2 linked regions of the Stegostoma tigrinum genome follow. The protein of the gene in region 2 purifies or fractionates together with the protein of the main gene of each other region. This does not show direct contact. Links are inferred from orthologs where the notes say so. Each region holds a gene or a part of one and is shown on either strand. Other genes may lie near its edges. The genes, in order: malt1 and card11.

What was found.
Region 1: the proteins of card11 (region 2) and malt1 purify together in Homo sapiens (affinity purification with western blotting; 6 studies listed by BioGRID and IntAct, with this or other methods). This does not show direct contact. The link is inferred for Stegostoma tigrinum from reciprocal best matches to the Homo sapiens genes CARD11 and MALT1.

The regions. Positions count from the first base shown.
Region 1 is NC_081354.1:151,653,242-151,669,857, forward strand, and holds the start of malt1 (mucosa-associated lymphoid tissue lymphoma translocation protein 1), read right to left. Parts: upstream 7,088-16,616; 5' UTR 6,660-7,087; coding exon 6,508-6,659; intron 1-6,507. UniProt on the Homo sapiens protein: Protease that enhances BCL10-induced activation: acts via formation of CBM complexes that channel adaptive and innate immune signaling downstream of CARD domain-containing proteins (CARD9, CARD11 and CARD14) to activate NF-kappa-B and MAP kinase p38 pathways which stimulate expression of genes encoding pro-inflammatory cytokines and chemokines.
Region 2 is NC_081376.1:13,749,193-13,766,290, forward strand, and holds the start of card11 (caspase recruitment domain-containing protein 11), read left to right. Parts: upstream 1-9,657; coding exon 9,658-9,788; intron 9,789-17,098. Other genes in the region: sdk1a (protein sidekick-1), read right to left, coding at 7,790-8,393. UniProt on the Homo sapiens protein: Adapter protein that plays a key role in adaptive immune response by transducing the activation of NF-kappa-B downstream of T-cell receptor (TCR) and B-cell receptor (BCR) engagement.

The sequences.
Region 1 (16,616 bases), on a different chromosome or scaffold from region 2:
GCGTTTTGTCAAGTGAAGTTTCAGATTGCAGGAATTTACACTTGAAATTAAAATCAAAATTCTCAACTCTCATTGCTTCATAGTCATGCTTTAGTAGGAGCTTTGCTCCAAGTGAGTAGAGAAAGAGAGAACTACAGCAAGTTCTATTTTGTAATTCTTTCACAAGATTTGGGCAGGGTCAGCATTCATTGCCAGTCCATAACTGACCTTGAGAATGTGATTCTGAGCCACCTCCTGAACCACTACAGTCCTTCTGCTGCTTTTAGGAAGGGAAGTTTTTGACCGAGTGACAGTGAAGAAATGGCAATATAGTTCTACAACAGGATGCTACGAAACTTTGAGGGGGATTTGCAGGTGGTTGTACTACCCAGTACCTGCTGCCCACATTCTTCCAAATGGTACACTTACAGATGATGCATACTACTGCATGCCAGTAGTGGAGGGAGTGAATGTTTATGATGATGAATGGGATGCCAATTAACTTGCTGTTTTGATATTAGTGAGCTTCTTGAGTGTTGTTGCGTTAAAGGTGAAACTAATGTGTATGTCACAGCAAATATATTGTATGCATTTCCCCTCAAATAACCTACAAAAAACTCCCATTACACCTTAATATGCATAACAAGTCATAACAACGTGGTTTGCAATAAAACATGACAATACAAAGATATTCAACGGATAGGGGAGCTTTTCCCAAATTAGTCTCAGAAAAAATATTCTTCATTTCCGCTTGGACAACCACCTTTATATCTAATGCTCTGGTGTTGAACATGATATTTCAGCGCTGGAGTCTCAGCTCAGACATCATTCCTGCCACTCAACTTCAATCAGTGGAAAGGGGCACTGAGACAACAGACAAGGCACAGCACTGAATTCATGACTGCCTTCATCATAATGCTCAGCACCTTGTTGTGGAGATTTAAATAAAACTTTAAGGTAGGCTACAAACCAGATCTGATGAAAAGGTTTTCTTTGAACTTAAAGGTATTCACAGTGCTTTGTTGAGGCATGTTCCTTTGAACAGTGTGAACCTATTGCCTTGCTTGCATTTTATCAGCCTCCCACTGACATACTTTCAATTGTTTTCATATTTTCAGTTTGGAGAACAGCATGAAATAATTGAAGGCTTCACTGGCTACTGAACAGGCTGAGAATCCACTACGAACATGACGGTGGTCATTCTTGCCCAGCTGTTATCGAGTCAATAAGGATTTCTGCAATGATACATTATGGATTAACCAGTCTGAGATGCCACTGTGTTTCTGGTGGGACTTCCCCATATTTGGTCACACGTACAGATATTCTATTAAGGACTTTCCAGTGGGGACTTTCCAGCATTTCACCTCATTTAATTACAGCATCAAAAAAAATTATATCCAGGTCCCTTTAATTACCTGAAATGTCTTTCTGTAACTATAGGGAATAAATCCAAACAGCTTTATAAAATTAGCTAAACAATGAATACATTTTCAGCCATTAAGATGTTAACTGATCATAAATATTTGGCTTGCTCATTTGTAGTTTTTGTATAGGTTGTACATAATGAGTGGGACATACAAGTAATTCCAGCTCCCAAAAGAAATCTGTGATCATACACCTCAGTTTTGGCCTTGGCTTGACATACAGCCTACACTGCTTTGCTTTCAATTTCTGTTGACATTTTTTTGTTAAAATTATCACACTACTGTAGAAGTGGTAGATGAACCTCAAAATATTATAGCAATTAATCTTCATTTACCGAAATTAACCACAAATGAAAAGCAAAATTAGTCACACTACTTATAATAGCAATTTATTACTGTTTTGTTGGCAGACATACCAGCCAACTTGCACGGAATAACACTGCATTAACAGAAAGTGAGACAAGTGGCCACTTAATGGGTTTTTGATCGGTTTGGCCAAGGTAGCTAAGATTTGGGTTTAAAGGATCTCTGAAAGACAGAACCTGAAATAATGCAAAATCAAGGTCAAGTGAATTAGTCAGAACGACATAGGTCAATTAATAAAAGGGAATCAGAGAGATAACCAATGTAAAACATATCTCACTAAAACAAATTCAAGGTGACGCTAATGACACCAGGGCAATAGCTGAGCAGAGTGGCACAAAGAGTCTAATTGAAACCCAACTCACTGGCAGTCAGGAGAAATCTATTCACATGGCTGGAGATAACCAGCTTCCTTCGTGCTGAGTGTGAGGTTGCTGAATGTCAATTATCTCAATCCCAAACCACCACGTAGGAGTTTCACATGGTGGTGTCTCAGACCTAACCATCTTCAGATACTTCAACAACAACCTTCCTTCCATCGCATGACCAAAAGTGGCAATGTTTGCTGATTATTGTGCAATGTTCACTAGTATTTGTGACTTCAGATGCTGAGCAGCTTATACCCAAATGCAACAAGTGCCATGCAAAGGCTAGGGCTGATGACTGCCAAATGATAGTCATCCTACAAAAGTGCCAGACAATGACCATATCAAAAAAGCAAGAATCTAACCATTGTCCTTTGACATTCTATGTCATTATCATCACCGAATTCTCTACTACCGGCATCCAAGGAGTTACCATAGACTAGAAACTGAACTAGAACAGTTCCAGAAATACTGTGGCTAGAACAGCAGGTCAGAGGCGAGCTGCTCTGTGGATCTAACAGCATCAACGAGACACAAGCCCAGATTGTAATGGAATATTTCCAGGCAAGATGGCAGCAGAGTAGAGCTCCTCAACGAAGTTTGTCCACTCTGACTGTTTCTTTCTCTTTTTCTTTTTTTCTCACTTTTTTTTCCATTTCTTTTAGTTCTTTGGTCATTAGAGTTTGATCATCAAGGCAGTGGCAGTGACGGTAGTGGCTGGGAGTGGTTGACGGCAGCGCATCATTGATGTCTAGAGCAGTCCCAGAACAGGATTCTGCAGCAATATGGCTAATGCAGCAAGGGAGCGCAGCAGTGACTGAGGCCCAGCACAAGCTGGATCATGGCAGTGGCAGTCACTGATAAGGCAGCAGTGGCAGAAGATGGCAGTGGCAGTGGTCATTCATGAAGGGTGGCAGCAGAGGCGGTCAAGGCCAAAGCCTTGTGAATGACGGCGAAGCCTGGCATGCTTGATGGAGGTCAACAGTGGTGGTTAGCAGTGTAGGCAGCTGGTGAGCATAGGCAGGTCATAGACCAGTGCAAGAGGGAGCGAACCCTCTGGAGAATGCCCAGCTTGGAGCGTGTGCAGGCCTATGGCTTAAAAAAAGGACTGTAATGTTTGACTTTTTAAAACTTTATTTCTTTATTTTTCTAATTCTGTAACTAAGATTTTGTACCCAGTACTTTGTGCCTAAGATGGCATCATGTGAGGCAACGTACACTTTTCATACCACACATCTGAGTATACATGACAATAAAACCTAAATATAAATTTATATCTAAATGTTCTTGCCTGTTGTCTGGATGATTGTAAGTTCAACAACATTCAAGAAATTTGACATGATTCAGGACAAAACAGTGTTGCCTGACAACATCCCATTCGCATTCAGCATTCACTCCCCACACCATTGATGCACATTGGCAGTGTACTTCATCTACAAAATGCAGCAAGTGCAGTAACTCACCAAGGCTCCTTTGAGAACACCTTACAAAGTTGCAATCTCTAACAGCCAGAAGGAGAAGATAGCAGACACATGGGAACATCACCACATGCAAAGGTTCCCCTCCAAGTCACACACCATCTGACTTTGAGCTGTATTGTTTTGCCTTTATTGTCTCAAATTTAAAATTCGAGAATTCCCTCCCTGACAACACTGAGGGTGCCTCTTCCTTAAAGACCACAGTGGTTTAAGAATGCAACTTACCACCTTCTCCAGGGCAATTAAGGAATAAATTCTGGCATGCCAGCAGCACCCACATCAAAGAAATGTAGTCAAAAAACTAACTTGTGAAAATGTACATTGATACGAATAGAAATTCTCCACATTTATAATTCCAGATTTATTTTCCAACATAAAGGGAAACATTAAAGGGATGCTATTTGTGCAACAAATTTTTTCCAAAGCTTCCCCTTTGATTTTCTAGATAAATCTAGCCTCATTGTTATTGAATCATTGTGTAGAAGTAGTATTACATACATACATACTGTATGCTGTGATCTTACATGTTAGTTTTCTCAAGAGATACTACCATACCTTTCACTGCATTGAATTATATTTAATTGTCTGCCAATTCCAGTAAACTGTTTACTTTCTTTGTAAACATTGTTATTCTTCCTCACAGTTAGTCAACTTTTAACCAATTTGCTGAAATGAATCTTCAATATTTGCCCGCTTCAGACTAATTAAGTGTAAAGCAAAAGAGGTTCCAGCACAAATTCTTGGCATATATACCTACCCCAATCGAAAAGCATTTGATCACTTCTGCTCTTTGCATTCTGCTCCAGAGCAATATTTCTGATTAGAACCCTAATAAAATCATGCACCTTAATTTTTATCATGTTTATTCTGAGTCATTTTATGAAACACTCATTGAAAGCTCATACAGACAGCAACTATGACATCCATTTTATGATTTATTATTGCCTTACAGCAATCAGTTAACTTAAACAAGCACAGCTGGTCCTCATGGAATGATACAGCAGAGAATAAGCCCTTCAGTCCATCGTACCTGTACTGGTTCTTTGAAAGAGTAATTCAATTGGTCCATATCCCCCTATCCTTTCCCCAGAGCTGTTAATTTGTTTTTCCTTCTTAAAATAATTATCCAATTCCTTTTTGAAAGTTATTCGTGTTCAGTTTACTCCAAACACCATTGCAGTCAATGACTTCAAGATCACAAAACCTTGATGCAAAACCCAGACCAAATGGCCCTCATTGTACCAATTATCTAAATCTCTTTGGAAAACCATCCTGTCTCTTATTGATTTGTCATTTTTTTTAATTATTCACAAATTTTACCTGATATTATTAGTTCTCTGGGCATTAGAACTTAACCCACAATAAGAGGCAAGATACTCAAGTGCTTCTATATCCAGATTCCAACGATTTACAGCTCATGTCTACATTACCATGTCATAAAGATCTGAAAAGTCAAAATCTAAATTTTTACAAAGAAATAAAAGCAGAAATTCCAAGAGAAACTCAGCAGATCTGGCACTATCTGTGGAGAGAACAGAAAGCTAATGTTTTGAGTCCAGTGACCCTTCTTCAGAACAGTATTGAAACATTAAATCTGCTTTCTCCCCACAGATGCTGCAAGACAATGCTGTATTTCTCCAGAAATTTCAGTTTTTGTTTGTTTCAGATCTCCAGGACTCATAGTTCTTTCCTTTTTTTAAACATTAATTTTGATACAAGTTGTTTCTATGGGATTGGAAAATGTCAAACAATCTGAAAATCACATCAACTGCTACGTGAACAGCAAGCTCCCACAAACAGCATGCTGATAAAGATTTGGTAATCAATTTTTGTTACATTTAGGGATAAATATTGGCCAGGATACCAGAGGTGACTCATCTATTCTTCAAGATAGTGACACAGGATACTTTACATCCTCCAAGGGAGCAGAAGGATTTCACTTTCACATCTCATCCAATGGCGACATCTCATAGTGCATTATTTCCCCATGAGGATCCCAGTTTACAAACCTAGTATCTGCTGGGCTCTTCCTGCCCCCAATTAATCATCTGATGGGCAAACAAACATCATCACCTTGAAAACTCTGAAACAAGGTGAGAAAGTTATTCCTGAATAGTTTCTCTTTTCCCAATAAAGAGGGTACATTTTGTCTCTTTTAGGGTGAATGCTACTTTATCGAATCTGAAAGTTTAAAAACTCAGTTTCAGGCTTTGAGAATCTTCAAGAATGGTCACAGATACAGCTTAAGACCCAAAAGTAGGCAGTTTACCAAAATAAAGCAGTGGTAAATGCCTCCCGTGACATAGTTGTTTTGTCCCTACCTCTGATGTAGGAGGCCTGGGTTCAAGTTTTGCCTGCTCCAGAGGTATCCATAGAATTCTTACAGAGTGGAAACAGGCCATTCGGCCCAACAAGTCCACACCGACCCTAGGAAGAGCATCCCACGCCGACCCGAATCCCTAACCTATCCCTGTAACGCCGCATTTCCCATGGCTAACGCATCTCATCTGCACATCCCTGGACATTATGGACAATTTAGCATGGCCAAACTGCACGTCTTTGGACTGTATAAATAACATCTCTAATATTTTGAAAATCTACAAGTAGCTTCCAGACTATGGAGAAAGGTGAAAACAATCAGGCTTCTGGCTCCTGTAAAACATTGACAGGAAACTGCACTCGACAAGTCAGTGTATGATTTGGTTGTGATGCACACCACAGTTGATTATCCTGTAAGACTGAATAACGGATTCGACCAACTTCAGAATGATAAAGAAAATGTGACAATGAGAACTCAATTTAACGCCGCCAAAAGTGAACGATTTACTTATGTTTGGGGCGGGACGTTGGTCTGGAGAACGGGGAGCGATACACACGTACTCTTGTACATATACTTACGTGAGTCTGAAACGCTTGTCAGCTCCCACAATCTCCGCCAGTTTCCTCCATCCCCGGTTGTTGGTCTTGTCCAGCAGATCGCTTATTTTCTTCAGCGTGTGTTCCTTCAGGCTGTTGATGTTTATCGGCGTGACCTGCGTGGACTCTGCCATTGCAGCGAGTCCTGTTTCCCAGTGGTGCTACTGCTGTCATTGAACAATACCAGAGCCTGGGTGACAGCCGTCTGCTCCTCTCTCCGTTCACCCACTCCCCGGGCAGAATCCAGCCAACAAAAACACGACCCCGCTCAACCGTCTAAAGATGACCTCAATCCAACGCCTTTCTAAACAGACATTTTTTTTTCCTTTAAAAGTGAAACGTTGAGATTTCAAACTTCTGGTTTCAAAAGAAATTTGAAGGGATTGTGGTCACACTGTTGCACGTCAAAAGTCAGACTCTCCGTTATAAAGCAGGAGTGCCCCCATCTCTAAAAATTGTCCCCGTTCTGTCTGGGATAACGTGGCGGTACACACAGAAAGAAACACAGTGAAACCCTCCAGTGAATGCACTTTATTCCAATCGTCTACAACACTTCCTGCTACTTTGGCGATAAACTACTGAAGCAGGAAGTAAAGGCACCTACACCCAAAAATGTGCAAAGGCCTCTGGGAAGTGTGGTTCATCGTGCGAAACTGACTCGGAAAAAGAAACGGTCTTCCAACAGAACTTACATTGATTCGGCTCCTTCAGTCACCCAGGCAGTTCCATTGTAACCAAGGTTGCTTGAGAAGGCGACGGGCAGTCACGGAAATAAAACCTTATAGTCCATGGGGTGTATAAGTAACACCTAGACTACGGTTAGGGAATGAGTTCCAATGCTTTGACCCAGCGAGAATGGTGGCACCGCAATATATGTATTCCTCAATCTGGATGGTGTGTGATAACAGCCTCTCGAGTCACGGACGTAAAGTTATAGAGTTGTACAGCATAGAAGCAGACCTTTCGGTCTAACGCGTCCATGCTAACCAGATATGGTAAATTAATCGAGTCCCATTTGCCAGCATTTGGCCCATATCCCTTTTAACCTTTCCTATTTATATACCCATCCATATGCCTTTTAAATGTTGTATTTGTACTAGCCTCCACCACTTCCTCTGTCAGCTCATTCCATATACTGACCACCGTCTGCTGAAAAGGTTGTCCCTTAGGCGCTTTTTAAATCTTTCCCCTCTCACCTTAAACCTATGCCCTCTAGTTCTGGACTCCCCTATCCTGGGGAAATGGCCTTGACTATTCATTCTATCCTCTTGATTTGATAAACCTCTATAAGGTCACCCCTCAGCCTCCAATGGTCCAGGGTCAAAAGCCCCAGCCTATTTAGCTTTGGCCTAAAGCTCAAACCTGCCATCCTGACAACATCCCTGTAAACCACATCAGTGCAGAATTGAAAAGGAACAGCCCGTGATGAGAGTGAGAATGATTAAGTTGTGACAAAGGCACCAGGCAAAGCAAAATGACAACACAACAAATATAGAAACAGAAATTAGGTCCAAGGAGATGGAGAGGATTGCGTTGCTTTTTAGAGGAGCCGGGAAGTCCTTATATATAAAAGGACTTGTCTTAGCCAACAGATCTTAGATCAAAGCTAATGTCACCTCCAAGGAATCACATTGATGTTTAAATAGTCTTCCTGCAAAGGAGGAAAAACAAACAAATGAAATTTTCCTCTTCAATACCAAACACGTAAGCATTTCAGTGTCTAGTGCACTTCCAGCTCAAAAGAGAAACTTCTTGGAAAGTTACTCAAGAAACAAAAACGGATGTTCAGATTCTTGAAGAAACAGAGATCAACACGAGGACACATGAAAACAAAATTCCTCAAAGGTGGAATCACAGGTAGACTGGGTGGTGAAAAAGGCATTTGATGTGCTTGCCTTTTTGGTCAGTGTATTGAGTATAGGAGTCATAATACAGCTGCACAGGACATTAGTTAGGCCACTTTTGGAATACTGTGTGCAATTCTGGTCTTCCTGCTGTAGGAAAGATGTTGTTAAACACAAAAGGATGCAGAAAAGATTTACAAGGATGTTGCTTGGATTGGAGTGTTTGAGCCATAGAGAGAAGCTAAGTAGCCTGGGGCTATTTTCCCTGGAGCGTCGGAGGCAGAGGGAGGAACGTCATCAAAGTTTATTAAATCACAAGGGACTTGAAAAAGGTGAATATGCTTTTTCTCAACATTGAGGACTCCAAAACTAGAGGGCGTATGTTTAAGATGACAAAGTGTGAAGCTGGATGAACACAGCAGGCCAAGCAGCATCTCTGGAGCACAAAAGCTGACGTTTCAGGCCTAGACCCTTCATCAGAGACGGGGATGGGGAGAGGGTTCTGGAATAAACAGGGAGACAGGGGGAGGCGGACCGAAGATGGAGAGAAAAGAAGATAGGTGGAGAGGAGAGTATAGGTGGGGAGGTAGGGAGGGATAGGTCAGTCCAGGGAAGACCAGTCAAGGAGGCGGGATGAGGTTAGTAGGTAGGAAATGGAGGTGTGGCTTGAGGTGGGAGGAAGGGATGGGTGAGAGGAAGAACAGGTTAGGGAGGCGGAGACAGGCTGGGCTGGTTTTGTGATGCAGTGGGGGGAGGGGACAAACTGGGCTGGTTTTGGGATGCAGTGAGGGAAGGGGAGATTTTGAAGCTTGAGAAGTCCACATTGATACCATTGGGCTGCAGAGTTCCCAAGCAGAATATGAGTTGCTGTTCCTTCAACCTTCGGATGGCATCATTGTGGCACTGCAGGAGGCCCATGATGGACATGTCGTCTGAGGAATGGGAGGGGTAGTTAAAATGGTTCGCGACTGGGAGGTGCTGTTGTTTATTGCAAACTGAGTGGAGGTGTTCTGTAAAGCGGTCCCCAAGCCTCCGCTTGGTTTCCCCAATGTAGAGGTAGCCACACCGGGTACAATGGATACAGTATGCCACATTGGCAGATGTGTAGGTGAACATCTGCTTAATATTGGAAAGTAATCTTGGGGCCTGGGATAGGGGTGAGGGAGGAGGTGTGGGGGCAAGTGTAGCATTTCCTGCGGTTGCAGGGGATGGTGCCGGGTGTGGTGGGGTTGGAGGGGAGTGTGGAGCGGATAAGGGAGTCACAGAGAGAGTGGTCTCTCCGGAAGGCAGACAAGGGTGGGGATTGAAAAATGTCTTGGGTGGTGGGGTCGGATTGTAGATGGCGGTAGTGTCGGAGGATGATGTGTTGTATCCGGAGGTTGGTGGGGTGGTATGTGAGAATGAGGGGGATCCTCTGGGGGCGGTTGTGGTGGGGGCAGAGTGTGAGGGATGTGTTGCGGGAAATGCAGGCGACGCGATCAAGGGCATTCTCGACCTCTGTGGGGGGAAAGTTGCGGTCCTTGAAGAACGTGAACATCTGGGATGTGCAGGAGTGGAATGCCTCATCCTGGGAGTAGATGTGGTGGAGGCGGAAGAATTGGGAATAGGGGATAGAACTTTTGCAGGAGGGTGGGTGGGAGGAGGTGTATTCTAGGCAGCTGTGGGAGTCAGTGGGCTTGAAATGGACATCAGTTTCTAGCTGGTTACCTGAGGTGGAGACTGAGAGGTCCAGGAAGGTGAGGGATGTGTTGGAGATGAACTTGAGGTTGGGGTGGAAGGTGTTGGTGAAGTGGATGAACTGTTCGAGCTCCTCTGGGGAGCAAGAGGCGGCGCCAATACAGTCATCAATATAACGGAGGAAGAGGTGGGGTTTGGGGCCTGTGTAGGTGCGGCAGAGGGACTGTTCCACGTAACCTACAAAGAGGCAGGCATAGCTGGGGCCCATGCAGGTACCCATGGCCACCCCCTTTGTCTGTAGGAAGTGGGAGGAATCAAATGAGAAGTTGTTGAGGGTGAGGACGAGTTCGGCTCAGCGGATGAGGGTGTCGGTGGAGGGGGACTTGTTGGGCCTGCGGGACAGGAAGAAGTGGAGGGCCTTGAGGCCATCTGCATGAGGAATACAGGTGTATAGGGACTGGACGTCCATGATGAAAATGAGGTGTTGGGGACCAGGGAATTGGAAGTTCTGGAGGAGGTGGAGGGCGTGGGTGGTGTCCCGGACGTAGGTAGGGAGTTCCTGGACCAAAGGGGAGAAAATGGAGTCCAGATATGTGGAGATGAGTTCGGTGGGGCAGGAACAGGCTGAGACAAAGGGTCGACCAGGGCAGGCAGGTTTGTGGATTTTGGGAAGGAGATAGAAACGGGCCGTGCGGGGTTGGGGAAAATTAAGGTTGGAGGCTGTGGGTGGGAGGTCCCCTGAGGTGATGAGCTCATGGATGGTGTTGGAGATGATGGTTTGGTGTTTGGGGGGGTGGGGTCATGATCAAGGGGCCAGTAGGAGGAGGTGTCAGAGAGTTGGTGTTTGGCCTCGGCGATGTAGAGGTCTGTGCACCATACTACCACTGCGCCTCCCTTGTCTGCGGGCTTGATGGTGAGGTTGGGTTGTGGACTTCACAAGCTTCAAAATCTCCGCATCCCCCACTGCATCCCAAAACCAGCCCAGTTTGTCCCCTCTCCCCGCTGCATCCCAAAACCAACCCAGCCTGTCTCCGCCTCCCTAACCTGTTTTTCCCCTCACCCATCCCTTCCTCCCACCTCAAGCCGCACCTCCATTTCCTACCTATTAACCTCATCCCGCCTCCTTGACCTGTCCGTCTTCCCTGGACTGACCTATCCCCTCCCTACCTCCTCACCTATACTCTCCTCTCCACCTATCTTCTTTTCTCTCCATCTTCAGTCCGCCTCCCCCTCCCTCCCTACTTATTCCAGAACCCTCTCCCCGTCCCCCTCTCTGATGAAGGGTCTAGGCCCGAAACATCAGCTTTTGTGCTCCTGAGATGCTGCTTGGCCTGTTGTGTTCATCCAGCTTCTCACTTTGTTATCTTGGATTCTCCAGCATCTGCAGTTCCCATTATCACTCATAGCTGGAGAAACTGACAGGTCTGTGGAGACAAAGCCGAGTCTAAGTTTCGGCTCCAGCGAGCCTTCTTCAGATTTCCAGCATCACAGTTCTTTTGTTTTATTTTAGAAGGAATAGTAATAATCATCAACTGTTGCTCGATCTAAATTATGAAGGCATCTTCGGTTCTGACCCTGGATTCTGGTGGCCGCGGGAGGGGGGTGGTGGGGGGAGGTGGTGGAATCTGAAACTTGATCCTTTTCCCATCAGCTTGACTTTGCCCAACTTTCCAGTGTTACTGCAGCTGTATATGATAACTCCCAGAGCGTGTGTACACAGTCTCTATTACAAGTTCGTGAGTATAAGATGCAAAAATAGATCAAATGGGCTTCAGTATATCAGTGTGGATCAAACACGGCTGCTAATCTTCCTGTTCACCGTGCTGAATGTTAAATAACATATAAATAAGGTATGTTCAGAGTTTCTGGTCACTTTGTTTATGGGCAGGGAGGTTCTTTGTTCGCCAGCAACTGGGCTTTTCAATATCTTTATAGTTGCACATCTAGCCCAATGTCTGTTTAAACCAATGGTAGAATTGCTTTCATTGTATAATCTACAATTGGCGCTGTGTTTTTTTGTCGATTTTCCGGTTGTTTTTGAGTTGGCATATGTTATTATGTGTAAAATATTGGATTCCTGTCAGCCTGGTTTTATTTGTAATCTGAGAGGTGGAGAGAGAAAATTTCTCTGCAGAGCTTAGAAGTGGCTTGTGATTGCAAAGCTTTAAATGTATTGAAGAAATAGAAGGGCGACGAAAATTTGCTTTCAGATCCTTTTATGCTTTGAAAAATTTAAATAAACTCTATCAACATGGCTTTAGTTATTGGAGTCATGGAGGTCTGGGCCCATGGAATCTGCAGTTCTCAAAAATAAACATTTAACTATTTGAATCCCAATTTCCAGCACTTGGCTCATAATTTTGTATGCTTTGGCATCACATCATAGAAACAGAGGAACTCGGAGCTGGAGGAGGCCATTGGACTCCTTCAGCCTCCGCACGCTCAGCTAGTTGTCATATAGAGCTGCAGTAACACTGGAAAGTTGGGCAAAGTCAAGCTGATGGGAAAAGGATCAAGTTTCAGATTCCACCACCTCCCCCCATCACCCCCTCCCGCGGCCACCAAAATCCAGGTTCAGAACCGAAGATGCCTTCATAATTTAGATCATGGCTGATCATTGAGTTCAATAGCGTAATCCTACCCTCCCCCATATCCCTTGGTCCATTTTGGCAAGAGAGTTTTATTTCCTCCTTCTTGTAAACAAATAATGCTTTGGCTTCAAGCATTTTCTGAGGCAGCAAATTCCACCGTCTGGGTAATAAAAAATCTTCTCATCTCAGCCCTAAAAAGTTTGCCCCTTATCCTGAAACTATGACCACTAATTCTGGGCTTCCCCACATTGGGAATTTACTCAACTTGTGAGATTACGCTGTAACTTCTTTGAATCCACCTCACAGTTCACAGTTCCACCCTTGTGTCATACAGAAATTTTGAGATATTACGTTCAGTTCCCTTATCTAAAGCATTAACCTATGTTGTGAATAGCTGTGGTCCTAGTACCATTCCCTGTGGTACACTGCTAACCATTGCCTGCCATTCTGAAAAAGACCCATTTGTTCCTACTCGGTTTCCCATTTCCTAACCAATTTTTTTATCCATATCAATACGCTACCCAATCCCATGCAATTTAATTTAACACACCAATTTTTTATGTGGCACTTTTGTTGAATGCCTTCTGAAAGTCCAAATAAACAACATCTACTGGCTCCCTCAATCAACTCTACTACTTATATCCTCGAAGGATTCCAGTAGATTTATCAAGCATGATTTCCCTTTTTAAAAATCAACGTTGACTGTTGCTGATCCCACCACTGTTTTCTACGTTTTGTGCTATAAAATGATGAGTAATGGACTCAAGCATCTTCTCCACCACCAATATCAGAATCATTGGTCTATAATTCTCTTTTCTCTCCACCTCCCTTCTTAAAATAGTGGGGTTACATTAGTTACTCTGCAATCTTTAGGAACTGTACCAGAGTTTAATGAATCTTGGAAGATGACTGCTGATGCATGCACTATTTCTGGAGCCACTTCCTTAAGAGCCCTGGGATGTAGAACTGCACATTTAAATACTTCATCAATGTTATGAGGGCTTCTGCCTCTACCAGCCCTGCAACCAGTGAGTTCCAGATTCCCATCACCTTCTGGGTTAATAATAAAATTACTCAAATATCAATCTACATGTGTTTCTGGCGCTCACCTTAAATGTCCTTTAGGTTCACAAGATGTGGGTGTCACTGCCTAGGCAACATTTATTGCCCAACCCCAATTGCCCAGAGAGCAGTTAAGAGTCAACCACATTGCTGTGTGTCTGGAGTCACATGTAGGTCAGACCAGGTAAGGATGGCAGTCTCCTTCCCTAAAGGACCTTAATGAACCAGATGGGATTTTTTCCCAGTAACTGGCAATGGATTCGTGGTCATTAGACTCTTAATTCCAGATTTCTTTTTTTGAATTCAAATTCATCCATCTGCCATGGTAGGATTTGAACCCAGGTCCTCAGCACATTACATGGGTCTCTGGGTTAACAATACTGCAATAAAACCACTAGGCCATTGCCTCCACTTTAGAAGAAGCTGACCAGTACTTGTGTAATTCTATCCACTGGCCAAGGTCAAATTTACTACATATTGATAAGCATAAAGAAGCTCATTAGGAACTACACACTTAGGAACTAGCTGAAGTAGCACATCTTACTGATTTGCATGCATATTTTGCACCATTACATTACCTAAACCATTCAAGATGCAACTTGTCTGGATTAGGTAGAAAGACCAATGTTATTCTGCTGTCTGAAATCCTTTCAGTTAAATTTGACCTTGGCCAGTGGATAGAATTACACAAGTACAGATCTTCATTCACTAAAATCAAATGCTGGTCAGACATTCAATCATTTACAATGAGCTAAAACTGATCTGTCTGATAAAAACATAACAGTTGAACAAACAAGATTGCTCAGGGACCTTTTAAAAGTCACAATGCGGTTTTACCAGTTGAAACAAAACTGATATAAATCAGTCTTAACCAAAAAGGTGAAGTGCATCAGTCATGTCAAATTCATATCCAACTTGCATCACAGATTTCATGCAGATACGAAACCAAAGGAAAACAGAGATTTCTGAAGAAGGGTCCAAACCCAAAATGTCAGCTTTCCCACTCCCCTGATGCTGCCTGGCCTGATGTGTTCCTCCAGCTCCACAATGTGATACCCAAAGTCTCACAATTTGTTCATCTTCTGATAGACTGATTGGCATCTATCCCCCAGTCTCTCTCTCTCTTAAGAAAAAACCTGGACAAAACACACCTCTTAAAATCACTATCCTCACAATAGGATCTGTCAATATTTGCCATTTCACTGATAAAGAAACAACCTTCATTAGTTGTAGGGCTTGACCAATCACTCCTCTCACTCTGAGGCTGTGTAATCAGTGTGCACGTGCGCCAGAGTTAAAGGTGTGACTAAGATATAACAATCGAAAAAGATTATAGTAGGGTGGAATGATGTCATAGGATTTGAAATTATTGGCAAAAATTTCTGAGGAATGGGGACTTGGGTGATATCCCTGAGGTCAGAGTGTTCAGTGTATACACTGAATAAGGATAGGATGGATTTTTATTGATCAAGTCACAGGAGAACTGTTTTCATTATGACAAACACATGTAGATTGTGATTAAAAAACATCACAAAGAAATTAACTGTAACACAGGTCTTTCCAAGAGGTTAACAGAGCAGGGAAATTATTTCTTTCAGATGATGGATTTTATGAATATTTTACTTACAAATTTTAGTGTTTCCCATTGAAAAGATTGAATGAAATGGCTGATTGGTGTCAAGGAATCTCAGAATTAATTTTTGCTTGTCATGATACGGTCATGCAACTACATCTGCCACATGAGCGGGTCCACTCTGTTACCACCACATCTTTGAGTTTAATTGTCAAAAGGCAGAGGAGTTGAAGGCAGTATTTACCACACTGCACAGAGACAGCAGCTTCATACATGATCTCTGCAGACATGTGCTTGCTCCTCAGCTTTACTTTGGCATTTCTAACAATTTGAATGGAAGCAGAAATAGGTAGCAAATGATTCCAAATGATTCTCTTGCAGACATTTTAGCCTGTTATATAATAGAGTTCAAGGTGTTGACAATATGAGCATTCTGAAAAGATAATCTAGTTCTGGATGTGAGTTTGCTTGCTGAGCTGGAAGGTTAGTTTTCAGATGTTTCGTCACTTTTTTTTATTTGAAAAAATATACTTTATTCGTAAGATGTACAAAAAAAAAGACATATTTACACACCTACCCAGTCATGCAAGTCGCTCCGGGTTACCCAGGGGGTACATACACCAACTAAAGGAAAAATACAAAGAAGGAAAAAAAAACACAGAGCAAAGAAAACACCCCAGCAGTCGTCACCCCGCACAGTCCCAGTTGGCCCCCTGACCAGTTGGGGAAGGCGCCAGCTGGGCCCAGTTACCAGATAGGGTTCTTTTTTCTATTCGGGACGAGGGGTTTCATACGGTGGTCTTTCCCCACCGCGCCTTGGCGGCGGCTGCCCCAAGCTTTAGCGCGTCCCTCAGCACGTAGTCCTGGACCTTGGAATGCGCCAGTCTGCAACACTCGGTCGGGGTCAGTTCTTTCAGCTGGCAGACCAGCAAGTTGCGGGCAGACCAAAGAGCGTCTTTCACCGCATTGATGGTCCTCCAGGCGCAGTTGATGTTGGTCTCGGTGTGCGTCCCCAGAAACAGCCTGTAGAGCACGGAGTCCCGTGTCACGGAGCTGCTTGGGACGAACCTCGACAAATACCACTGCATCCCCCTCCAGACCTCCTGCGCATAGACACACTCCAGAAGGAGGTGATCAACAGTCTCGTCCCCCCTGCAGCCACCTCGAGGGCAGCGTACAGTGGCGCAGAGATTCCGGGCATGCATAAAGGATCTCACTGGCAGAGCCCTTCTCACCGCCAGCCAAGCAATGTCCTTGTGCTTGTTTGAAAGTTCTGGCGATGAGGCATTCTGCCAAACAACTTTGGCAGTCTGCGTGGGGAACCACACGACGGGATCCACCCTC
Region 2 (17,098 bases):
TAATAAGCATTTCAGAACTTCAAAACTCTTTTGGACTCTCTCCAATAATTCCTGCAACATGAAGGTCAAAACTGCACAGTACACCAGATTCATGTGCCAAAGTCAAATAAAACATCACTGCAAGCTTATTCCATATCCTTAGCTAGACACTGTATTTTCATCAAATCAAAACCCAAAGAACAAAGAACTGAGAGTGCTGTAAATAAGGAACAGAAAAGGTGCTGGAAAAGCTCAGCAGGTCTGGCAGCATCTATGAAGGAAAAAGAAAGAGTTAACGTTTCAGGTCCGCTTCTGAGGAAGGGTCATCGGACAGGAAACGCTAACTTTTCATTTCTTTCACAGATGCTGCTATACCTGCTGAGCTTTTCCAGCAACTGTATATTCATCGTGGATGAACACAGCAGGCCAAGCAGCATCATAGGAACAGGAAAGCTGAGGTTTTGAGCCTCGACAATTCTTCAGAAGTGAGGGAGGGGAAGGGGTTTCCCAAAAATCCACAAACCTGACTGCTCTGGTCAACCCATTGTCTCCGCCTGCTCCTGCCCCACCGAACGCATCTCCACCTACCTGGATTCCATTTTCTCCTGTTCCAGGAACTCTCTACCTACGTCCGTGACACCACCTATGCTATCCACCTCCTCCAGAACTTCCAATTCCCCAGTCCCCAACACCTCATCTTTACCATGGATATCCAGTCCCTATACACCTGCATTCCTCATACAGATGGCCTGTCCTGCAGGCCCAACAAGTCCCCCTCCACTGCCACCCTCATCCATGTAGACAAACGCGTCCTCTCCTTCAAGAAGTTCCTTTCAATTTCTCCCACCTCCTACATAAAAGAGGGGGTGGCCATGGGTACCCACATGGGAAGAAGCTATGCTTGCCTCTTTGTAGGTTACGTGGAACAATCCCTCTTCCGAACCTACACTGGTCCTAAATCCCACCTCTTCCTCTGTTGCTTTGATAACTATAATCGACACCACCTCGTGCTCCCACAAGGAGGTCAAAGAGTTCATCCACTTCAACACCTTCTATCCCAACCTTAAGTTCACCTGTACCATCTCTAATACATCTCTCTCTCCCCATCTCCGGCAACCACTGAGAAACCAATATCCGTTTCAAGCCCACCGACTCCCACAGCCACCCAGAATGTACCTCCTCCTACCCACCTTCCTGCAAAAATGCCAACCCCATTCCCTGTTCCTTTACCTCGGCCGCATCTGCTCCCAGGATGAGACATTCAACACTCGTACATCTCAGATGTCCTCGGTCTTCTAGGACCGCAACATCCCTACCCCCTCCGTAGTCGAGAACGCCCTCGACTGTGTCTCCCACATTTCTTGCAACTCATTCCTCACATCCACTCCCCGCAATGACAAAACGAACCAAAACAGAACCCCCCTTGTCCTCACGTACTACCCCAGCAACCACCAGATCCAACGCATCATCCTCCGACACTGCCACCATCTGCAATCTGAACCCACCAAAGACAGGTTTCCCTCTGCACCCTTATCTGCTTTCTGGAAGGACCAGTCTATCCATGACTTCCTTGTCCGTTCTACACTCCCCTCCAGCCCCACCACACTTCTCCCTGCAACCGCAGGAAGTGCTACACCTGCCTCTACACATCCACCTTCACCCCCATCCCACGCCCAAGAAGACTTTCCACATCAAGCAGATGTTCACCTGCGCGTCTGCTAATGTGGTATACTGCATCACTGTTCCTGTTGTGGCCTCCTCTACATCAGGGAAAGCAAGCAGAGACTGGGGACTGCTTTGCAGAACACTTACACTCGGCTCGCAACAAACAACTGCACCTCCTAGTCGCAAACCATTTCAACTCCCCCTCCTATTCCACAGACGACAGGTCCATGCTGGGCCTCCTGCAGTGCCACAACGATGTTACCCGAAGGGTACAGGAACAGCAACTCATATTCCACTTAAGAACCCTCAGCCCAATGGTATTAATGTGGACTTCACAAGGCTCAAAATCTCCCCTCCCCTACTGCATCCCAAAACCAGCCCCAGCCTGTCCCTAACTTGTCGTTCCACCTATTCCCCCTCCTCTCAAGCTCCACCCCCATCTCCTACGTACTTGTCTCATCCCACCCCCTTGACCTGTTCATCCTGCCTGGACTGACCTGACCTATCTCCTCCCTGGCTCCATCCGTGCCTCTTTGACCGGTCTGTCTCCTCTCCACTCCCTATCTTCTATCCACCACCCCCCCCCACCCCCGCCAAATATCTTTTTTGGAACCTCCTTCCCCTCCCCCATTTCAGAAGGAGGGTCTAGGCTCAAAACATCAGCCTTCCTGCTCCAATACTGCTGCTTGGTCTGTTGTGATCATCCAGCTCTACAACTTGTTATCTCAGATTCTCCAACATCTGCAGTTCCTACTATCTCTGTATTTTCATTGTGATCTTTATATGGTGAACTAACAACTTTAAAAGACTCACCACTAAACTCCTCAAATCCATTATCACATTAGTCCTTTCAAGCATGGTGCCATTTAATATATAAATTAGTATTCCATTCAACTTTCCAATCCGAAGAATCTATACTTTTGAACATGGAATTCCGTCTGCTCTCACTCTGCCCGTTGACCTAACACAGCAAATATTTAAAACTAATGCATTTTCATTATAATTATAATACTCCAAAGTCATTTACAAAACTTCTGAACAACCAAGTGAATATGAAATTTTATGGCCTTCCTCCGATGACCAGTTATTGCTCAAGTCACCTGATATTGCATTATTTTAGAACACCTTTTGTTATTTATCACATCAATCCCATCATCTACTTCACCACTTGTGCTTTAGACCAACAGCTTGTGAACAGCCCTGTTTCCACAGAGTCAAAGACAACAGAACACAGCAGGCCACGCAGCAGAGGAACCAGAAAGTTGACGTTTCAGGTCAGGACCCTTCTGCAGAAATGGGATCAAATGCCAGATTAGTTCAGTTAGCACTTATTCATGGGCCAAAAGATTTAAGTTCAAGGCCCACTGCAGAACTTCTGCACATAATCTGGATTAACAATTCAGTATGATAGGTCAAAATGTTATGTTTTCAGATGAAATATCAAAATGAAGTCCCATTCGTTTGTTCAGGTCAGGAGAGGTCCCACGGTGCCTTTAAATGCAGAGAAACTCTCATGGCATCCAAGCCAACATTTATTCTTTGATCAACACAAAACAAGTGCTCAAGTTTGGCAACTGATCTGCCTATATTACAAAAATGAAAACGTAATTCTCCTTTAGAACTGAACAGGTGTACAAATGCAATGCTCTTTAGTTCCAAACAGTCATATTGGACTTGAAAATATTAACTCAGTTCCTCTATTTACAGCTGTTGCTACACCCGAGTTTCTTCAGCACTTCGCTTCTATTTCAGATTTCTAACATCCACAGTATTTTGCTTCTGCTTGAAAACACCAAGATTATTTTGCAATAGCCAAATCACAAACACCTATAAATTCAAGTTTGTTTCTTTTTTCTCTTTTGAAATCGAATGAGACAACAACCATTACCTATCCTGTTATCCACCCAAAGTAAAACCTCAAAAGTAAATTGTACAGCCTTATTCAAATGTAGATGTGATGTGGCTGCCATTACAGAGACAGACTGCAAAAAAAAGATGACTTGAATATATAACACTAACAAAAATAAAGCTGGAGAAGAGTGGAAGAGTAGCTTTGTTAATTAAGAACAGCATTAGTACAATAAAAAAAATCATATCTTAGTTGTGGAGATGAAGATGTCAAATCAGTTTAGGAAAAACTGGCTGGGGAAAGAAGTCACTTTCAGCAATGGCATATTACCTTGTAATAAAAACCACATTGTCAGACAGGATAGAAAAAAGGGGGGCCAGTGGGAAAGATATGCCAAGAGTCATGGGTGATGTTAATCAATATATAAATTGGATTGGCAGAGTCTGAGTGATGAGTTTATGGGATTATATTCAGGAGAGCTTCTCATGGCACCAAGTTCTGAACCAAGTAGTGTGCAAACGCGACAAGATAAGGCAATGTACAATAAATAGGCTTATTTAGGACTTCATATTAAAGACATCCCAAGGTAACTAACTTTACTATGACTCAGTATCATTTTCAGTTTAAGGGAAACGAGTGCAAACCCAAGAAAGTATCATGGGGAGGTGATGGCCTAGCGGTATTAATTGCTGGACTGTTAATCCAGAGATCAAAGAGCATTCTGGAGACCTGGTTTGAATCCTGCCACAGCAGACGGTGGAATCTGAATTCAATAAATATCTGGAGTTAAGAATCTAATGATGACTGAGTTGATTGTCAGGAAAAGCCCATCTGGTTCACTAATGTCTTTTAGGGAAGGAAACTGCCATCCTCACACGTGACTCCAGACCCACAGCAATGTGGATGACTCCGAGCTGCCCTCTGGGCAATTCGGGATGGGCAATAAACGCTGCCTAGGCAGCGACACCAACATCCCATGAATGCATAAAAGGGGAAAAAAGAACATTATAAGCTTGGAGGATGACAATTATGGCCACAAAAAAAATTCCTGTTCACTTAGACTTATGCGATGATGCAATAGCCCGTATTTAAAGTAGTATTTCAAAATACTTAGAAAAAGTACATTCCGGTGACAAACAATGGCTCAAAAGAAAGGACACACCTGTTCCAATCAAATATGTTAAAGATTGGATTAATCCAAAGAAGAAGCACATAATTCTACCAAGATGAATGGCAAGTCAATAGACTGGGCAGGATATAAAAGTTAGTGCTGGGGTCTCAATAATACACAATTGATATTGATGTCCTGAATGAAGGAACTGAATGTACAATTCATCAGCAAATTTAACAAACATAGATCAGAAAAGAATTAGTGGCAAGTACATAGGCAACTGGAATGGGATACAAATAGATTCACTTAGTGAGCAAAAAAAAAGTTAACATATGAAGTATAATGTAGAAAACTGTCAACTTCCCTATTTTGGCATGATGAATAGAAAAATAATGTTACTTCAATACAAACAGAAACTGCAGACATCTGAGATACAGAGGGATCTGGGTGTTATGATGCTGAAATACAAGACATCAGCATGCAGGTACAGCAAGTGATTAAGAGGGAAAATGGATAGTTGGCATTACTAGAAGGGAAATATAAAATAAAGTTTGCTCTGCTGCAGCTGTACAGGGTGCTGGTAGGCACATACCCGGAGATGGGTGTACATTTTGGTTTCCTCATTTAACGAAGGTTATAAATGTATTGGCAGTTTGGACAAGGTTCAAGCAACCGATATTCAGGATTGGGGATGGAGGATGGTTATGTTATGAGAAAAGGTTGGACAGGCTAGCCTGTTTCCATTGTAGTTCAGAAGAATGAGACATGATCACAAGAAAAAAAAAGGTTCTGAAAGGACTTCAAAAGGATGAATTAAGTTGTTTACTCTTGTGGGACAGAGTAGAACTCAGAGTCAGGAGTTCCAAAATAAAAGGGGTACTCTGTTTAAGACAGACGAGGAGAATTTTCTTTCAGAGAGTCATAATTCATCGGAACACACTTTCCCGGAGATGGCAGTGGGAGACAGAGGTAACTAAATTGTTGCAAACAAGGGAGTCAAAAGTTATCCAGGGTATTTGGGAGTGTGGAATTGAGATCACATCCAGATCAACCACCATCATATTGAATGGTCGAGCAGGGTCAATGCATTGACTGATCTATTACTGTTCTTAACTTTTATGTTTATATTCTTAAAAACGTGCACACTTCAATATTCATATACATTTGACAGAAAACTACCTTTTACAAATTCATACTTCCCAACTACATCTGTCCCTATAATTATTTTAGTGCTCTAATTTCCACGTAAAAAGACTAACAGACTTATGATTTTGTAATTGATCTCTGTTAATGTCAAATAGTAGACTGACAATGGGAAGTATTCCAAAAGTGCACACAAATCGCTGAAGAAAGAGGTTGGTAAAAAAATGGCATTGACTTGATGGGCTTAACAGCTAAACATTTGCTGTAATATCCTCTCATTCTTGACATAAGGTAACAAAAGTGTTCAGATTACTAAAGAACATCTTTTTGTTTAAAATCCAAGATGGCACGTGACTAATCTCATTCCCACTGGGGATTTACAATCAAAAAATAATTACCACAAAATACAACCTGAAGTTCCAACTACACTGTACTTTGAATGAAGTACAACTGAAAAACTTATATTTTTTCCCATAATCAATTTTCCTTTAATAGCAACAGGACAAATGGTTTGAGCCTTCAGCTTAATGATGCCATTCCCAATTTAGAATTATAAAGTACACAGTGTTTCAGCACAGAGATATAATCCCAGCAAGTGGGACATTGAAGCTCCAACTCACAACTCCACAATGACATCCAGTGGGATCTTCATGTCTGGCAGGTGTGGGTATCCTGCCTCTGTGCAGTCTACGGCAGCTTATAAAACCGTTTTGTCCCATAGGACTAACCACTTATCAGCTGATACACATTGGAAAAAACGGTTACTGCTGTGAAGGAAACCATAATGTCATGAGTCAGATGCTACTCAGTTTATGAATCCTTTCACTACTTTAAACTATTCTGCAAGGGAAATGTGGAGAATAAATTTCAAAACAAAAATCAATTATAAAATAGGTGTATGAAACAACAGATATTGATGCTACTCAAACGAAATTAGATTAAGACAGCTAATTCAATCTTAATAGAAGTCAGTTTTTAAAAAGTTTAAACATAGGGACAGGAGTGCAACATAAAAGCCCTTTATTTGGAATGAATACAAGTTTTTACATTGGGATACTAATCCAATTGAGATCGCTGGCACCAGAACAAACGCGGCACTGTTTATGATGTATGACGGCGCATCGCTCAAGCAAAGAACTTCGGCATCCCACCATAAAGAGAGCAAATATCAGTTCATTCATTGGGTAAAACAATCGCGTTTCAAATACTTACTCGAACGCACGGACAATGGTACAGAAAGTGTTGTTTGCATTATCTTGTCTGTTAGCTAAATCAGAGTTTGCTTATATGCTGAATAAAGTAAGCTTGTTTCAATTAACAAATAATCCATAATGCAATATGGAAAGCGAGAGCAAAAACAAAGTCGCCAGAAAGCTTCAGGGGTCCGAGAAAAGGTCAACGGACCCGAAACCTTAACTGATTTTTTTTCCTTCACAGATGCTGCCAGACCTGCTGAACTTTACCAGCAACTTTGTTTTTGTTCCTGATTTACAGCATCCGCAGTGGTTTCGTGTTTTTTTTTAAAAAAGAGAGTAAGGGATTACCTCGGGTTGAGAAAGTAGTACGTACATTAGGCTTCTACTTCGCGTTGCAATTCTGTGATGGAAAATGAAACTGGCACAAGTGCTTATTTACACTGCCCAATAGAAGTGCAACTCTTTGGTTTGTTCCCACGGCAAAAAAAATAAAAAGCAAAACGCACGCTGTCTCATTAATTGACTCACCATCGGATAATTGTTCCTTAATACTACAAAGTCAGCTTGGAAAGTAAAGCTATGAGAGCTGATAGCAGACAATATTCAAATGTAACCCTTTGCGTACCGTACAGCTTGCAAAATACCATTTGATTAACAAGCATGTTGCAAAGAAACCATACGACAGTTGAAAAATATGGTAGCGTTTGTGTCCGCACTTAAAGCACAACACAAATGTTGGACTTTAATCTCTCCTTCACATCACTTGGAAGATTTGCATAAGCAAAAACATAATTTGTTCCCACTTTGAAGGTGTTTCGACTCCTGTAATGTAGAACTTAATCTTACCTTGAGCCAGGGTCTGTAGCACGTGGATATAAAAGAGAGCTAACATCCACATTCGCCCAAAACATCCAAACAAATTAAAGTTTCCTCTCGCACTAACAAATCCAGCTGTTCTTCGGAATACTCCCGATTTCGGTCCCCTAATCAATACATTAATTTCATCACTTCGGTTTTCAATCTGGTTATCGAAAACACCTTTCAAACAAGGCCGTTGCTTCATCGCCCTTTGGTTATTGATTGAGTAGTCCGTATTCCCGATTTCTTTGGCAATTTCGATCAACTGATTATGGTGGGCATTCGAACGCTGGATCGATCTCTGCTTAGTGAGTCCGCTTGGGTAAAGGCTCCCGATCGGTCCCTGCAAGGCTTTCCTTTGGCATCGATCTTTCGGATGATTGATTACAGATGTCGCTGGGTTTACAATTAGTTCATGGCTAGTAGCCCCAGAGTGCGGTCTTTTCCTGCTGCTAGAATTACTGATCAACGTTTGCGGGCCCTTGCTGCTAGCCCCTCGAGTACAGATCACCTCTGGATACGCATCAACATCAATGAGTAACACAGCGATGACCTGAGCATCGACCAGCCCAAAACTCGCGTCTCCCATCATCTGTTGATCGCCTCGATTAGTGCAATCAGGTCGCTCCCTAACAATCGATACGCTTTGGTATATTTTCAATGAAATATATTAGACTGAATGAAGGTCTCCTCCAAGCCGCTGGTTAAATTGTGTTATTTTGGCTGGTTGCCCTAGAGAGGAGATCGGGTTTGGTTCAATCTTTCGCAGCCTGCTAATGATCGCCGCTTTCCTTGTAGAGGGTTTGGATCGGTCCCTCTTCCCAAAGCCCGGATTTCCTCAGCGGGAACAGCGTCACTCCGTTCCGACAAGCTGCCTTCACCCCTGGGATGAGAAAGCAGAGGTGTAAATAAAGGGAAGCGTTTTCTTCCCAATCCTCGTTTTCCTTATTTTTTAATTTCGTCTGTTACTTTCCAATGTACACCGAGGAGGCACCAAACAGCAATGATCTCAACTTCCAGCCAGCCGCCTGCAATACCTGGTTGATAATTAACTCCAACGCTTTTTTTAAAAAGAGCAAATGATTATCACTTGAATGGTTGTTTGGTTTTATCACCTAAGTGGAGACGGGATAAAATTCCCAAACCTGAAAATGATGAGTCTGTGAAAGTTTCAACTCATAACTGAAACAGCTTTCAAACTTTACTTGAACAAATTACATGCATTCTCCAATTGGATGAACTGCGCTTGGCAAAGTTTGAACTTATATCTGACAGCGGCGCGAGACCAGGGGCGTTCGCCACACACACACACACACACACACTGATTTAGAGTTACATTAGTACGCCTAATATGTTTTATAAAAAAAAACATAATCTTCAACAACTTTGAACCCTGCAAGAGACCTGAAATTAAATTCTGAGGTGAACGCCCCTCGTCCGATGACTTTCCAACAGATTTCCCTCTTGCTTTGAACTACCTTGTAACGGCAGTTTGCGATTTCCTTCTTCCCCGCCGCCTTTTCCTGTCGACGGACCGCACTCTTTCGGCTCGAGCTGAAGCTCGAGCGCGCCTCTGATTGGTCAACGCCAGCAACCACAACCTGCGATCTGATTCGTCAACATTCCACCAGGAGAAAATCTCTTCCGGCTGATTGGCCGAATTCTGCACCACCGCTCGCTGATTCGCTGATATCTGGACAGGGTTCTCAGTTCCGATTGGATGGAATGCGATCGCTGCTGTGATTGATCAATTCGTTGATAGGTGCTGGCTTTCCATTGGTAATGAAACAGGCGACCATCTGTCTCCGGTCACTGGTCTCTTCACTGGAGCCCTGACCAACCAATAGGAGGACGAAATGAGAGGGGCTATTGATTGGTTCCAAAGAAGAAATTTCCAAGACAGAAAATTGGGTTTGCACAGCTTCTTGTCTTTAATGGTCAAGTTCTTCATTGAATCCTTAAATAAAACAAAGAACTGCAAATGCAGGTAATCTGAAAAAATTGTAGAATTTACTGGCGAATCTTAGCAGGTCTGGCAGCATCTGCGTGGAGAAAGCGGACTTAACGTTTCCACTACAGGTGACTTTATCAGAGTACCTTCAGTCGTTTTCGAGAGCGGGATTTCTCGTTAATCCATCACTATGCCGTGTTTTGTTTGAATGAAATTGTTCTTAGCAGAGCCAACCTATTTTCGACGATTCAGACCTACCTTACCATCCACCCTGCGTCGATGTCACTTCTCTATCATTTGTGCTTCCTTGGCGTTTTGCTATGTGTACCGACACAAGAAGTGACTGGGGAGTCCAGAACCAGCAGTCACAATCTTAAGGATACAAAATAGGCAATTTAGAACTGAGTAAAAACCGAAAGAACAAAATTGCTGGAGAGGTTCAGCAGATCTGGCAGCATCAGTGAAGGAAAAAGACAGAGTTACCGTTTCAGGTCCAGTGAACCTTCTTCAGAATCTTCCAATTTATGACTCAGATCAGGAGATGTTTCTTCGTCCAGATAGTGATGACCATGTGGAATTCTCTGCCACAGAAAGCAGTAGAGCCCAAAGCATTGAATGTTTTCACAAATAAGTTACTTAGTTAATTAGAACTTTAAAAAATTGAAGGGAAAGAGAGAAAGCAAGATGAATTAAGAACAGGGTACTGACTTGGATAATCAGCCATGATTATACTGAAAACTGGGCAGACTGAAAGGACCAAATAGCAAACTCCTGCTCCGATCTGCTATTTTCAATTAATCCATTTTGTAGCAACAAAGGGAAAACTGCTGGTCATTGTTAGACCACAGTGCATCCCATCTTCCAACAGATTCTTCATGCTTGCCCTGCCCTGTCCTCAAAATGTAAGTTCATCACTATCTCCAAGAGAAATCAATGAGATCTTTCTTATAGACAATACCACAAAACCCCAACACCCAGTTCATTCCCTTTCCAGGCCATGACCGTTTCCTTTTCGGGTGAACCATTTACCCAAAGCACTAGGTTAATCGTGCACAGATGTTCTTCAGTTTTACTGCCAATCAATTCCCTGAAAACCATGATGGGAACCCTCAATGCACTACAGCACTATGATTGCTTACAACGTAATTTACCAACAGAAAAACCATCACAGACTAAGCAGAAAAGTCAGCTAAAACAATTAGAATTCAACGCTCAGGTGTAATGATTCGCCCATCAAGACAATTAATTAGACAACTAAATATCTCTAATATTGTTGCCCAAATTAACACCTTTGATAAATTCTTCTGGACATCAATATTTTTTGAATGGAGACAGTAGGAACTGCTGATGCCGGAGAATCTGATACAACAAGGTGTAGAGCTAGATGAACACAGCAGGGGAAGCAGCATCAGAGGAGCAGGAAAGCTAACGTTTCAGGCCTAGACCCTAAAGGTCAGCTTTCCTGCACCTCTGATGCTGCTTCGCCTTCTGTGTTCATCCAGCTCTACACCTTGTTATATATATTTTTTGAAAGATTTTTTTTTTACTAGCTCTTAAAATAACTACTAACTTACTTTGGGTTTACATGGCTTAATTAGAATTTTACATTTTTGATACCATATTTAATATCTTCATTGTGTTCCCCAGACAGAGAGATTTTCTTTTCAAACTGTAAAGCTAAACTTCCCTAATCTTTCTTCAAAGCTCATTCTCTTTGCACTCGAATTGAAATATGACTGTTCTCCATACACAGCCTAATGCAATCTTTAGGGGCAGCCCTTTTCCCTTTTAGCAGTTACTGAACTTCAGGTAGATAATCAGCTTTGATCATGTTGAAAGATGAAGCAGACCTGGAAGGCAAGATGGCTGACACATTCTATTTTTTATGTTCTTCTGGCTGCTTATAAAAAAGCAGTGGATTTCCTGATTTTTCTCATGTGCACCGTAAGTTAAGTGGCTAAGAATAAAAGATTATCATGTTTTTGCAGCAATAATTACAAGCGGGATTTGTAGCATTCCAACAGTATCTCATTGACTCAAACTTGCACATATTACACACTGGACTTCATTTTCTTCAAAACGAATGTTTATTTTTAAATTTAAAAGTGAAACCTCAATAGTTGATACTAAAATGAAAAGGCAGCAATTAAAAATACACAAACATCTAGAATGTGCAGCAACAAGGACAGTCAGCTTTCCAATTTCACTTGTGTCCAAAATTACAATCTTCACAATAAGGTTAACTTTCTAGCCCAAGTGGCTGTTTAGGTGGTGATTATTTCATTAAGGATTTTTGTTCTAAAAAAGCAAATGCTGCCCGGAATACTGTAAAGAGAAATTCTTACAATCTTCCAGAGGCTCTACGGTGCTCCTCGGCAGCAAATGCTTCCAACTCAGAAAGTCAAGTTTACTTTTTGGACAGTTAACTTATCTGAACAACAATGTTCACTTCACAGGTGCCTAAAATATCAAGGGTTAAAATGCAATTTTTCCAAATTGCCATCAATAGCTAGTGTGAGTCTTAATTGAAAGATGTTCCTGTTTTGCAAAGTCTAAATAATTTCTTTCCACTTTTGTTTTGAATTATTGAAAAGATTCACCTGAACCTGGGCTTCAAAAATTGTAAATCTACCAAGTTTTTTGTGCATTTGTCACACTATCATTGTTGCAGCATCGAATACAGTATTCTAAGTCTAAAGAATGTATTGTAAAATCTCAGCATAGTTCTGGAAATGTAATTCTCTCACCTTTAAATTACTTCATTGCATTACCTAAATGTTGAAAATGATATTTTTACTATTATTCCCAAGCTCCCTCCTAGTCCATCCTTCTTCTAATTCAGTTCCATTCACTGTATATGTGTCTGAGATTATTTTGATGCACATTTAGCAACCTGAATTTCACCAGTGATATGTCTGCATAGTCAACCGACATCTTTCTGACAGCATTTTGCTGCATTCTGTCGCTGTGCCACTGCCCCGATTTTGTGTCTTTACCAGGTTTGAAGAGCTACCAGATGGTTTTGGTTTACATTGTCACCCTTAGGTAACATTATCTTTTCAAAGTCTGCCATTATTCTCTGCAAGTACTTCTTTACAGATGTTTACGTGTTTATTGTGGTCCAAAAATCATTTTTGTCTCTTCCCATATATCTTAAACCTAAAAATTTGTCACTGAAAATTCAATGTTTAATTCAAGCTTTCCTCCATAAACAGACACTAGATGGCATTGTCTTAGTCCTTGAAACGTAATAAACCTAAGAAATATAAATTGCAAATTAACTAAAACCGGATTAAATAATTTGCCCTAGATGGATTTAGAGTTGGGTACACACAGACAAGCTTTCTTCAAATAAGTTTTTTTAATTAAAATTTACATTTTTGCCAAAAAAACTAAAGGTAGAATTGACCAGCAACTAGAATCATAATTTTCACTTTGTTGCAGTAACTTGCTTTCTCTGAGGTATAGGAACGAAAAAAATGCGGAGCTCAGTTATGTAATTTTTAATTGTAGGGTCAGATTTTAGCTCTGTCAGTGAATGAGTTTTGCTTGAGTTATAATCTAATACATGGTCCGTGTTCTCAAATCGGTTCATACCTTCGTTGTTTTAAAGCAATTAGTCGAAGAATCATTCATTGGCAACATGGCATTCATGCTTTAACTCAACTGGTAATAATTTCTAAAAACAAAATAATGTAACGAACTTTTTTTTTAATTGCTCGGGAACTGTGCGCAGTTTCCACGTTCTCCCATGTCTGCGTCGGTTTCCGCCGGGTGCTGCGGTTTCCTTCCACAGTCCAAAGATATGCAAGATAATAAAGTGTGAAGCTGGATGAGCACAGCAGGCCAAGCAGCATGTGAGGAGCACAAAAGCTGACGTTTCGGGCCTAGACCCTTCATCAGGAAGGGGGGTGGGGAGAGGGTTCTGGAATAAATAGGGAGAGCGGGGGAGGCGGACCGAAGATGGAGAGAAAAGAAGATAGGTGGAGAGGAGAGTATAGTTGAGGAAGTAGGGAGGGGATAGGTCAGTCCAGGGAAGACGGACAGTTCAAGGAGGTGGGATGAGGTTAGTAGGTAGGAGATGGAGGTGAGGCTTGGGGTGGGAGGAAGGGATGGGTGAGAGGAAGAACAGGTTAGGAAGGCAGAGACAGGCTGGGCTGGTTTTGGGATGCAGTGGGGGGAGGGGACGAACTGGGCTGGTTTTGGGATGCGGTGGGGGAAGGGGAGATTTTGAAGCTGGTGAAGTCCACATTGATACCATTGGGCTGCAGGGTTCCCAAGCGGAATATGAGTTGCTGTTCCTGCAACCTTTGGTTGGCATCATTGTGGCACTGCAGGAGGCCCATGATGGACATGTCATCTGAAGAATGGGAGAGGGATTTGAAATGGTTCGCGACTGGGAGGTGCAGTTGTTTATTGCGAACCAAGCGGAGGTGTTCTGCAAAGCAGTCCCCAAGCCTCCGCTTGGTTTCCCCAATGTAGAGGAAGCCACACCGGGTACAATGGATATAGTATACCACATTGGCAGATGTGCTGGTGAACCTCTGCTTAATATGGAAAGTCATCTTGGGGCTTTGGATGGGGGTGAGGGAGGAGGTGTGGGGGCAAGTGTAGCACTTCCTGCGGTTGCAGGGGAAAGTGCCAGGTGTGGTGGGGTTGGAGGGCAGTGTGGAGCGAACAAGGGAGTCACGGAGAGAGTGGTCTTTTCGGAGGGCAGACAAGGGTGGGGATGGAAAAATGTCTTGGGTGGTGGGGTCGGACTGTAGATGGCAGAAGTGTCGGAGAATGATGCATTGTATCTGGAGGTTGGTGGGGTGGTGTGTGAGAACAAGGGGGATCCTCTTTGGGCGTTTGTGGCGGGGTGGGGTGTGAGGGATGTGTTGCGGGAGACGCAGTCAAGGGCGTTCTCGACCACTGTGGGCAAGTTAGGTGGATTGGCTATGTTAAATTGCCTGCAGGGTGCATGGATAGACAAGTTAGATGCGTTTGCGACGAGGAAATGCAGGGTTACAGGGATAGGGTAGGGGGACAAGTCTGGGTGGGATGCTTTTGGGGGGCGGGAGGTTCGGTGTGGATTAGCTGGGCCAAGTCACCTGTTTCCACACTGTCGGAATTCTGTATAAATGTGCACCCTTCGACCCTGAATGTTTTCAGCGCCTAGAAGTCAGCCTGATTGACGGGCTTGGTTTCCAGCCAGGCAGGGAGAACTTTGTACCTGTAAGATCAATTGGGTTTTGTAGAGGAGGGTGCAGCTTGAGAGCTGTGGGGAAACATTCCTGCTGCTTGTGGCCACAGCAGTGCACTTACTTTCTCGCTGACAATGCCCTCGCCTCAGTTTAGCTGCTAGATTTCCCAAAGCTTAGAAAAACCTGCCCACCGTTAAACCCGAAAAACTGAATCAGCTGCAACCATCATCAGTAAAATATTTACATTTCGAAGTTCCTTCCCCTCCCTGAATAAAGTCCAAGGGAAGTGGTTTGAGAGTCGGCGTTCATGTTTAACTTACCAACGTTTGATGCAAACCCAACCCATCCAAATGTTGTGTACTGAAATGTTCCCGCCCCCACATTCCAACATTTCGCAGTATTTCATACAAGATACATTTTCTAACTCTTCATCCGGTCGTTGAACTGCGACTGATATCTTTGCTCAGAACCCACCCTCTGTTTTCTCATGGAATTATCCCAGCTGATCTCAGAGAAATACATATTCAGAATGGAGCTTGTTAATGCTGAACTTTTATTTATATTTCTTTATTTTTTTTATCTATACCTAAGATTTCGTATCTGGGTTTGTCTGTACCTAACTTTATAACGACTGTAATGCTGATCTTTTAACTTTTTTTTTTCATTTTTCTAATTTGTACATTAGATTTTGCACTGAGCTATCTTGGTACCAAAGGTGGCGCCAGAAATGGCAATTTCGTGCACTTTTCACTGTATGCATATATCCCTGTACTTCAGTACGTGACAATAAACCGAATCCTTATTCTAATACTTCGTTCTGTTATTGAAGAAGTACATTGCACATGGTTTCTGAAGGAACCAAACAGAATGCGTGAGGTAATTTGGACTGAAATGATGTTAAGCATTTCTTGTCATTTATAAAGTAATAATTTTGGAATACTCCGTTGAGCTTTGAAAATCCCGCAAAGAAATAAATTTGGGCAGCCTCATTCAGTTAACAGAAATCTTAAAATTTAGCGTGTGAAAAGCTAAAGAGAACCTCCTGACTGCCATTTTATTTACACATAGAGTCAAAGGGTCACGCAGCACAGAAACAGACCCATCAGTCAAACCAGTCCATACTGACCGTAATCCCAAATTTAACTAATCCCATCTGCCTGCACCTGTCCCATATTCCTTTAAATATTTCTTATTCATGTACTAATCTAAATGTATTTTAAAAGCAATTTAAAATATAAACATATTTATTGGAATCAAATCATGATTATGTGGCAGAGATAATGGGAACTGCAGATGCTGGAGATTCCAAGATAATAAAATGTGAGGCTGGATGAACACAGCAGGCCAAGCAGCATCTCAGGAGCACAAAAGCTGATGTTTCGGGCCTAGACCCTTCATCTGATGAAGGGTCTAGGCCCGAAACGTCAGCTTTTGTGCTCCTGAGATGCTGCTTGGCCTGCTGTGTTCATCCAGCCTCACATTTTATTATCTTATGATTATGTGGCAAGTTATTTTTAAAAGACAAGAAATTAGAGAGGAACATTATTTTATCGTGCAGGTGTGGTAGCATTTACTTCAAAATTACTGAGTCAGCTGGAAAATAATTTGACACTGAAATGGTTTTATCTTCATCTCTGACCATGTAGTTCAGCAAGTGAAGTTTTTGAAGATGAAGTTGTGCTCAAGTGAAGCAGTGTATCATTTTTGATTGGCAGTTTGATGGCTGAAGTCAGCGCCCAGAAAGGTTTGCAGGCTCAACATATATTCTATTTGCAAACTGTATCAGCGAACTAACATTTGTTGAAAATTTAGTGTGAGATAGAAGATCTGTTGTGAACTGACCCCTTTCCAAGCTTTTTTGACAAGAGCCTTTCATTTCTTCCTTTTTTGTTTTATACAGCAGGAAACCTCTTTGTCTTTCAGCAAAAATCCATTGTCGTTTCTTCTGAGCATATTATGAAGTTCCAATGGACAGCCTGCTTGACAATGAAATTAGGTTTCAAAAGATTTCTTGGATATTTAGTCACAGGTCATAGGGTAGTAATCAACCTCTTGGTAATGTGACCTTACAAAAGACTTCATGAATGTGTTCGGCAGAATCCAATACACTGACATTCAATAACATTTGCGTTCTTCTTAAACCATGACCCCAAATGAATT